Linked DNA regions of Mus musculus. The protein of the gene in region 1 interacts with the protein of each later gene in a pairwise test. Links are inferred from orthologs where the notes say so. Each region holds a gene or a part of one and is shown on either strand. Other genes may lie near its edges. The genes, in order: Sar1a and Slc38a7.

Evidence for each region.
Region 2: the proteins of Sar1a (region 1) and Slc38a7 interact in binary tests that used the Homo sapiens proteins (3 or more experiments, as listed by UniProt). The link is inferred for Mus musculus from reciprocal best matches to the Homo sapiens genes SAR1A and SLC38A7.

What each region holds. Positions count from the first base shown.
Region 1 is NC_000076.6:61,686,474-61,690,284, forward strand, and holds part of Sar1a (GTP-binding protein SAR1a), read left to right. Parts: coding exon 1-5; intron 6-3,300; coding exon 3,301-3,432; intron 3,433-3,811. UniProt on the Homo sapiens protein: Small GTPase that cycles between an active GTP-bound and an inactive GDP-bound state and mainly functions in vesicle-mediated endoplasmic reticulum (ER) to Golgi transport.
Region 2 is NC_000074.6:95,839,803-95,843,613, reverse strand, and holds part of Slc38a7 (putative sodium-coupled neutral amino acid transporter 7), read left to right. Parts: intron 1-1,290; coding exon 1,291-1,438; intron 1,439-1,765; coding exon of another isoform or gene 1,766-1,772; exon of another isoform or gene 1,773-1,886; intron 1,887-1,892; coding exon 1,893-2,092; intron 2,093-3,145; coding exon 3,146-3,200; intron 3,201-3,811. UniProt on the Homo sapiens protein: Symporter that selectively cotransports sodium ions and amino acids, such as L-glutamine and L-asparagine from the lysosome into the cytoplasm and may participates in mTORC1 activation. The transport activity requires an acidic lysosomal lumen.

The DNA.
Region 1 (3,811 bases):
TTAATGTAGGTTTATATTTATATTTTTTTTTTCTGTCTTGCCCTTAAGAAATACAAACTCAGTAGTACCAGTACTTAATGTGATCAGAGTCTTTGAAGAAAATACCTGATAAGAAATACGTTTTTTTTTTTTTTGTTTTGTTTTTGTCTTTTTTAAGATTTATTTATTTGTTTGGACACACCAGAAGAAGGCATAGGATTCCATTACAGATGGTTGTGAGCCACCATGTGGTTACTGGGAATTGAAGTAAGGACCTCTAGAAGAGCAGTCAGTGCTCTTAACCACTGAGCCATCTCTCCAGTCCTGTTTTTTTTTTGTTTGTTTGTTTGTATTTTTAAAGATTTATTTATTTATTCTATGTAAGTACACTGTAGCTGTCTTCAAACACACCAGAAGAGGGCGTCAGATCTCATTACGGATGGTTGTGAGCCACCATGTGGTTGTTGGGATTTGAACTCAGGACCTTCGGAAGAGCAGTCGGGTGTTCTTACCTGCTGAGCCGTCTCACCAGCCCCTGGTTTGGTTTTTTAAAGATGTTCTTATTTTATTTTATTTTATTTTATTTTATTTTATGTGTAGAAGTGTTTTGACTGACTCTATGGGGTGCTGTGTGCTTGCCTAGTGCCTGAAGAGGCCAGAGGACAGCGTATTTCCTGGAAATGGGGCTAACAGATAATAAACTGTTGTGAACCATCATGTGGGTACTGGAATAGATCTGGAGTAAGAGCGGCCAGTGCTCTTAACCAACCACTGGGCTATCTCCAGCCCAGTGAGATTTAGCTTCTCAGTGCCTGAGGACGTTCAGCTTGCAGTTGAGTAACTGAGTTTTATACTTCTTGTGGTGCACCAGTACCTGCATGGCCCAGATGCTCAGCGCTCCTCAGCTGCCCAGTGCCCCAGCCTTGTTGGTAGGACTGCTGTTCCCTCATTGTGGTTGCTCTTTCTGTAGCCTTGGCATAGGGAAACTCTGCAAGAGTTGAGAGGTTTTATACTTTTTTAAAGCAGATTTATTTATTCATGTATTTTATGAATGTGGGAGTTTTGTCTGCCTGTACCAGAAGAGGGCATCAGATCCTATGGGACTTCAGTTATAGATGGTTGTGAGCCTCCATGTGGTTGCTGGGAATTGAACTCAGAACCTGAAAGAACAGCCAGTTCTCTCTCTCTCTTTTTAAAAAAGATTTTATTTATTTTATGTATATGAGTACATTGTAGCTTCATCAGACACAGCAGAAGAGGGCATCGGATCCCATTAAAGATAGTTGTGTACCACCATGAGATAGCTGGGGAATTGAACTCAGGACCTCTGGAAGCAGTCATTGCTCTTAACCACTGAGCCATCTCTCCAGACAGTACTCTTGACTACCAAGCAGTCTCTCCAATCCTGATTTTTTATGTTTTTGAATCAGTCTCCTATGGAGTCATGTGACAGACTGCATAGTCTGCTAGCACTCTTCCGGTTTTTATTCACTTTGGGTTTCCTCCTTTGTATAGTGTTGCCTTATAATGCCTATTCCTTCGCCCTTCAATGTTTATGCGTATGAGTAGTTGCATGCATGTCTGTGTGTGCCCCACATGCATGCCAGTGCTCGTGGAGGCCAGAAGGTGTAGTATCCCACGGAAGTGGAGTTACTGAACTGCCATGTGGGTGCTGAGTGAGAACTGAGCCTCAGTCCTTTACAAGAGCAAGTGCTCTTAATCACTTAGCCATCTCTCCAGCGCTGTTCTCTCTCATGTGTGAGTTTCTTTTATTCTTGCAGTTTGAAACCCTCTCAAGTTTTTGTTTTTTAATGTGTGTTTTAAATGTTTAGGTCTCATTTTGTGTGGGGCTAACTTCTTTCTTTTTAAATAATTTATTTAATTTTATTTTATGAGCATTGCTGTGAGGGTGTCAGGTCCCTTGGAACTGAAGTTACAGACAGTTGTGAGCTGCCGTGTATGTGCTTGGAATTGAATCCAGCCCTTCGGAAGAGCAGCCAGTGCTCCTAACCACTGAGCCATCTCTCCAGCTCTGCTCTCCTTTCTTTTTTTATGCATTGGTGTTTTGTCTGCAAGTATGTCTCTGTGAGGGTGTCAGGTCCCACGCAATTACAGATAGATAGGAGCTGCCATGTGGGTGCTAGGAATTGAACCAGGGTCCTCTGGAGGAGCAGCCGGTGCTCTTCTCCCCAATGCTGTCTCCCTGTCCCCTATTTTATACTCTAGATTAATTTTTTTTCCTTTTTTTTTTTCTTTTTTTTGAGACAGGGTCTTGGTATGTAGCCCAGCCTGGTCTTCTTAGTCTCCTAAATGCTGGGGTTACAAGAGCGTACCACATGCCCAGCCAGTGTTAGCTCTGATACTTGGTCTTCTGCTTAGTTCTAAATGGAGGTATTCCTGAGGGTCTCTGCTTCCTCCATGGTAATGGCTCCAGGTGGATCTCTCATCTACACCTGCTGAGCTCCAGCCTCAAAAGAGGGGACAGTGCTGCCTACCAGATGGTCCTTCCCAGAAGGAAGCTGTCTGGATTGTTCCTTTCCACCATCCTGGACATGCTCTGGAAACCTGTAAACACTTACAGGGTAAAAATGCTCGCTCCCCCTTGCTCTCCTGTCTGTGAGACTCAGACGCCCAGTCCTGAAATCTGCAGCAGCTCTGTCTCCTCGTGTCTGCTTTACTGTCTGACTTCAGCTCTGCACAGAACCTATCTTGCACAGTCCCTTCAGTTGAGTTTAGCAGCTCATGTCTTAGGTGAGCACTGCACAGAGCACTGGTTTTCAAATCACTGTTCTGAAAGTGAAGATAGCTGACCTTGGGTTCACAGTCTTTAGGAGCTAGTGGAGCTTACAGTTTTCAGACTGGCACCATGACGTGGGTGTCAGTTGCTGTCACATTTGCTCTGTTGCTACACATCTGTATAAATGTCTTAATCCAGTCAGGCGGCGCTGTATGTGGCTTTCGTCTCACTTGGTTGCACTGCCACTGTGGTGGTCTTTCCTTCCACTCACCGAGTTTTGCCCTTCCTGTGGAGTGCAGTTTCAGGTCCACCTAAGGTTTTGTTCAAGTGTGGGTTGTCCTGCTTCCCCGAACAGGCTGTTGTGTACTTTCTGTCCAGTTCCTTGTGACATAAGTCATCTGCTGTGTTCTATTTATACCCAGGTTTGTTAACGCGCCCAGGGCCTTTCAGTCTGTGCTCTCTCAGACCTAATGTGAAGATGAAGCAGCCCGTTGTCAGGTGCAGTGCCGAGGGTGCCTTAGGAAGTGATGGGCTTTCACTTAGTAAGTGCTCACTTGGCTCTGTTATTTTAATCCTGTCTCTAGGCTTTAATGACTGATGAAACAATATCCAACGTGCCAATTCTTATCTTGGGAAACAAAATTGACAGGACAGATGCAATCAGTGAAGAAAAACTCCGTGAAATATTTGGGCTGTACGGGCAGACCACAGGAAAGGTAAGCAGAGAGCCCTCGGGGGCAGGAGGCGGGCAGGAGGCGGGGACCACGTGACTGAACCATGCCTACATTTTCTCTTTCTTTTTTTTGTGTTTTAAGACAGGGTCCCTTGAGTGGAAATGTTTTATCAGGGGCATTTTCCTTAGTTCTTTCCTTCCTCTTTCCTCTCTTCCCTTCTTCCCTCCTTCCCAGTGATACAAAAGGCCTTGAGCTTAGGCCTTTGTATGTTCTAAGTAAGTGCTCTCTCAGCCATACTCCTACCCTCTTTATCTCTTTTCCAGTACCTAATAAATGAAGAAATGATAGGATGCTAGAAAAGGCAGTCTTTTAATATTTTATTTTTTATTTTATGTATGGGTGTTTTGCTTGCGTATGACTG
Region 2 (3,811 bases), on another chromosome or scaffold:
AGGATGAGCGTGTTCCATCTGCTCATTGGTCCTAAACTGATGCTGAGTGATTATCAGAAGGTGTTCCCATTGTAGGGTTGCTGCAGGGACACATGGAACTGGCCCCAGCCCTGGTGGGATGACAGTCTTGGAGAAACAGTTATGTATAAGTAATAATGAAAACATGGAATTTTAGGTGGGGGCAGGTGTCATCATGACACTGAAACCAGGAAGTAGGGAACGGGACTGAATAGGGGCGGCATTCCCAGAAGGCTTCTCTCTGAGTATGGGGTGCCTGAGGAGGCCCACGAGGGATAAGACAGATGGTAAAGGGCTGGGTGGGGAGGAGCATTCCAAGGAGAGACTGACTGTAAGTGCAGGGCTTCTGAGCAGATGTGGGAGGAGGTCTGTAGCTGGGGTGTAAGAAACTGGTGCTTATGAGGCTGGGCAGCCAAGGGGAAGACAGTAGATGCTGCCAGGAGTCTGGGAGGATACATTTCTTTTTCTTCCTTTTTTTTTTAATGATTTATTGATTTATTTATTTCATGTATATAAGTACACCCTGGCTGTTTTCAGACACACCAGAAGAGGGCATCAGATGCCATTACAGATAGTTGTGAGCCACCATGTGGTTGCTGGGAATTGAACTCAGGACCTCTGGAAGAGCAGTCAGTGCTTTTAACCGCTGAGCCATCTCCCCAGCCCAAGAGGATGCATTTCTTGGATGGGAAATGACCAGGCAAAGAAACCTCTGGCTGCTGCGTGGATTTGGGCAAGAGGTCAGAGATGGACCGGGAGTTCCCACCCTCCTGTGGTATGGGACGAGGACAGGAGCTACCCGGAGAGTGCTGTGTCAGCATCTGAAGCACCAGCAAGAAGCACAAGAGTCCCTTCTGTCAGGGGTCCCATGTTCTGACCGGGGTGATGGGCAATTTAGAGAGAGGTGATTGGGGACTAGAACAGGGTGGTAAGCAGGTATCTGGGGTGGGGCTGACTGCATGGGCAAGTCCACATTCTCTGAGGAGGGGACAACTGAACTGAGACCCGAGGCAGCAACGGGGCTGTTTGAGCAGATGGAATGGTTAGTATAGAAGTTAGAAGGCATGTGCAGAGAAATGTGGGGGCTGGTGGGCCCACCATCAAAGGACATCTACGAAGGCAGACTTTTCTTTCTGAGGCCCAGGCCTCATCTCCCAGGCTGCTACAGCATTCTTTCTGAATGACATTGCTCCTAGCAGGAGTAGGCTGCGGTCCACCACTTACCCTCCTGCGATTGCCCGCCCTCACCCCGTCCCTGGTCTTTGCCTACAGGCATCTGTGGCTTCCTAACCTTTGGAGCTGCTGTGGACCCCGACGTGCTCCGGTCCTACCCCTCAGAGGACGTGGCTGTGGCCGTTGCCCGAGCCTTCATCATCCTGAGTGTGCTCACCTCCTATCCAATCTTGCACTTCTGTGGGCGGTGAGCCCCTTCCCCACCCTCTCCAGAGCCCCCTGGGAGCCAGCACGATACATGGCCTTGTATGGAACCTGTTTTGTAGCAGGGAAAACTGAAGCCCACAGAAAAGAATGTGTCCAGGATGCCCTTCCCCCATACTCGTGCCAGATCTGTTGTTTCCAGAACATTCTGTAAGCCCTGTGAGGGTCTCCAGTCCAGATCCTTTAATGAGCTTTTATGTGAACCCAGCCAGCCCTTTGAATACTCCAAACGATTCCTTTTATAAAGGGCATAGTGGTTGGTATCCATATTCACTTGAAGAGGCCAAGCCTTTCATAAACTTACCTGCAGCCCATAGCCACCAAGGACAGTGCTGGTCACACATGAGGACCCAGGCTCAGGGACCACACTCTGCCCATTGAGGAGCTCCTCCCCGTGCACTGCACAAAGCACCCTGAGCCCCTCCTCATGTGAGCAGGGCTGTGGTGGAAGGCCTGTGGCTGCGCTACAAGGGGATGCCCGTGGAGGAGGATGTGGGCCGGGAGCGCCGGCGCCGGGTCCTGCAGACGCTGGTGTGGTTCCTGCTGACCTTGCTACTGGCGCTCTTTATCCCTGACATTGGCAAGGTCATCTCGGTCATCGGAGGCCTGGCAGCCTGCTTCATCTTCATCTTCCCAGGTACACACCCCGGGTGCCGCCACCACCCCCACCCCCACCACCACACAGCAGGATCTACATAGCTCAGCCACGGACTCAAAACCTGCCAGTAAGATGAGCAGTAGTCTCTGTTGCTCACTGACATGGGCTCAGCTACAGTGCTGCCATCTCAGCGCTGACTCCTAGAGAGAAGGTGTGATCTCTGTTTTACTGATGAGATGTGAGGTCAGAGCAGCGGGCCTCAACCCTGGAGTTGAATGGCCGTTTCATAGGGGTCACCTATCAGATATCCTGCATCAGGTCAGATATTTACATTGTGATTCATAACAGTAGCAAAACTACAGTTATGAAGGAACAATGAAGATTTTTTTATTGGCGGTCACCACAATGTAAGGATCTGTATTTTAAAGGGTCACGGCATTAGGAAGGTTGAGAGCCACTGAGCTAGAGAATTTAGGCCAGCGGCTAAGAAGCTCAACTATGGACAATCCATTTGAAGCCCTATAGGCCCAGGTCCAGGGTCTCTATTTGAACCCTTCATTCAAGTGTGTACACTGTTGACTCTCAGGATCTGACTACCTTATTCCAGTCCAGAGGGAAGGAAGCCTGGCCGTGGCACCTTAAGGTTGGAGTCAAGAGACCCAAGCCGACGTAGGTCAGCTGCAGATCCCCAGAAACCTGCCCTGTCTGCGTGGCTATGAGTTCTGCTGGTCCCAGTTTGTTTCTGTATCGGGGCCTCCTCAAAGCCCATCCCACTGGACATGGAGCAAGGGAGCCATGCCTGCTCTGGAGTAGGCAAGATGGCATGAGCCATTCCTGATTCCCTATTCATTGTGCCCCTTAGCTCTGAGTCCTGAATATATCCCAAGCGGTGCTTGTTAGCCGCTGGCCTATCATGGGAGAGCAGAGGGCAGGTGTCTAGCTGGGCGTAGCTTGAGGCTGGGGACCTGGATTTCAGACTCACCGGTAAACAGTCCTTTCTCCATCACCACCACCGCCTCTTGGCTGGGGAGGCTGGGCTGTGGGAGGGAATCCCTGCCTCTTCCATACTCAGGATTCCGTCTTTCTTTCTAGGGCTGTGCCTCATTCAAGCCAAACTATCAGAGATGGAGGAGGTCAAACCTGCCAGGTAAAGCAGGGCCAGAGAGCCCAACAGCCTTTCAGGGAGGTAAAGAGGGGCCTTAACATAGAGACCTGAACATTTGAAATTTCGGGGATTCCTGGGAACTGGCACACGTTGTTGCCTCCACACTCAGAGGCTAAGGTGAGGTTGCTAGGGGTTTGGAGTCCCTGATGCTGTGCCAGTGACTTTTTGTAAGAAACAGCTTAAAAGGAAAAGAGTCCTCAACTCATGGTTTGAGGACACAGCTGGTCCCAGTGGCAGGAGTGTGTGAGGAGTTTGGACATGTGTCCTTGGGTAGGAAGCAAAGTAGTGACAGGGACTCTCAGCCTACCTTCTCCATCATTTCTTCTTAGTCAGTCTGGGACCTCAGCCCATGGAATTGTTTGGGCCCTATTTAAGGTGGGGCTCCCCTCCTCTATTAAACCTCTCTGGAAATGATCTTACAGACCCACCCTTGGCAATTCCAAATCCAATCAAATTGACAATGGCAGTGAGCCATCGCATTACATAGTGAGAACCAAGCCAGCCAGAGATACACAGCAAGACACATACACACACACACACGATCTCAAAAAGAGAGGGAGGGGGCTGGTGAGATGGCTCAGCCGATAAGGGCA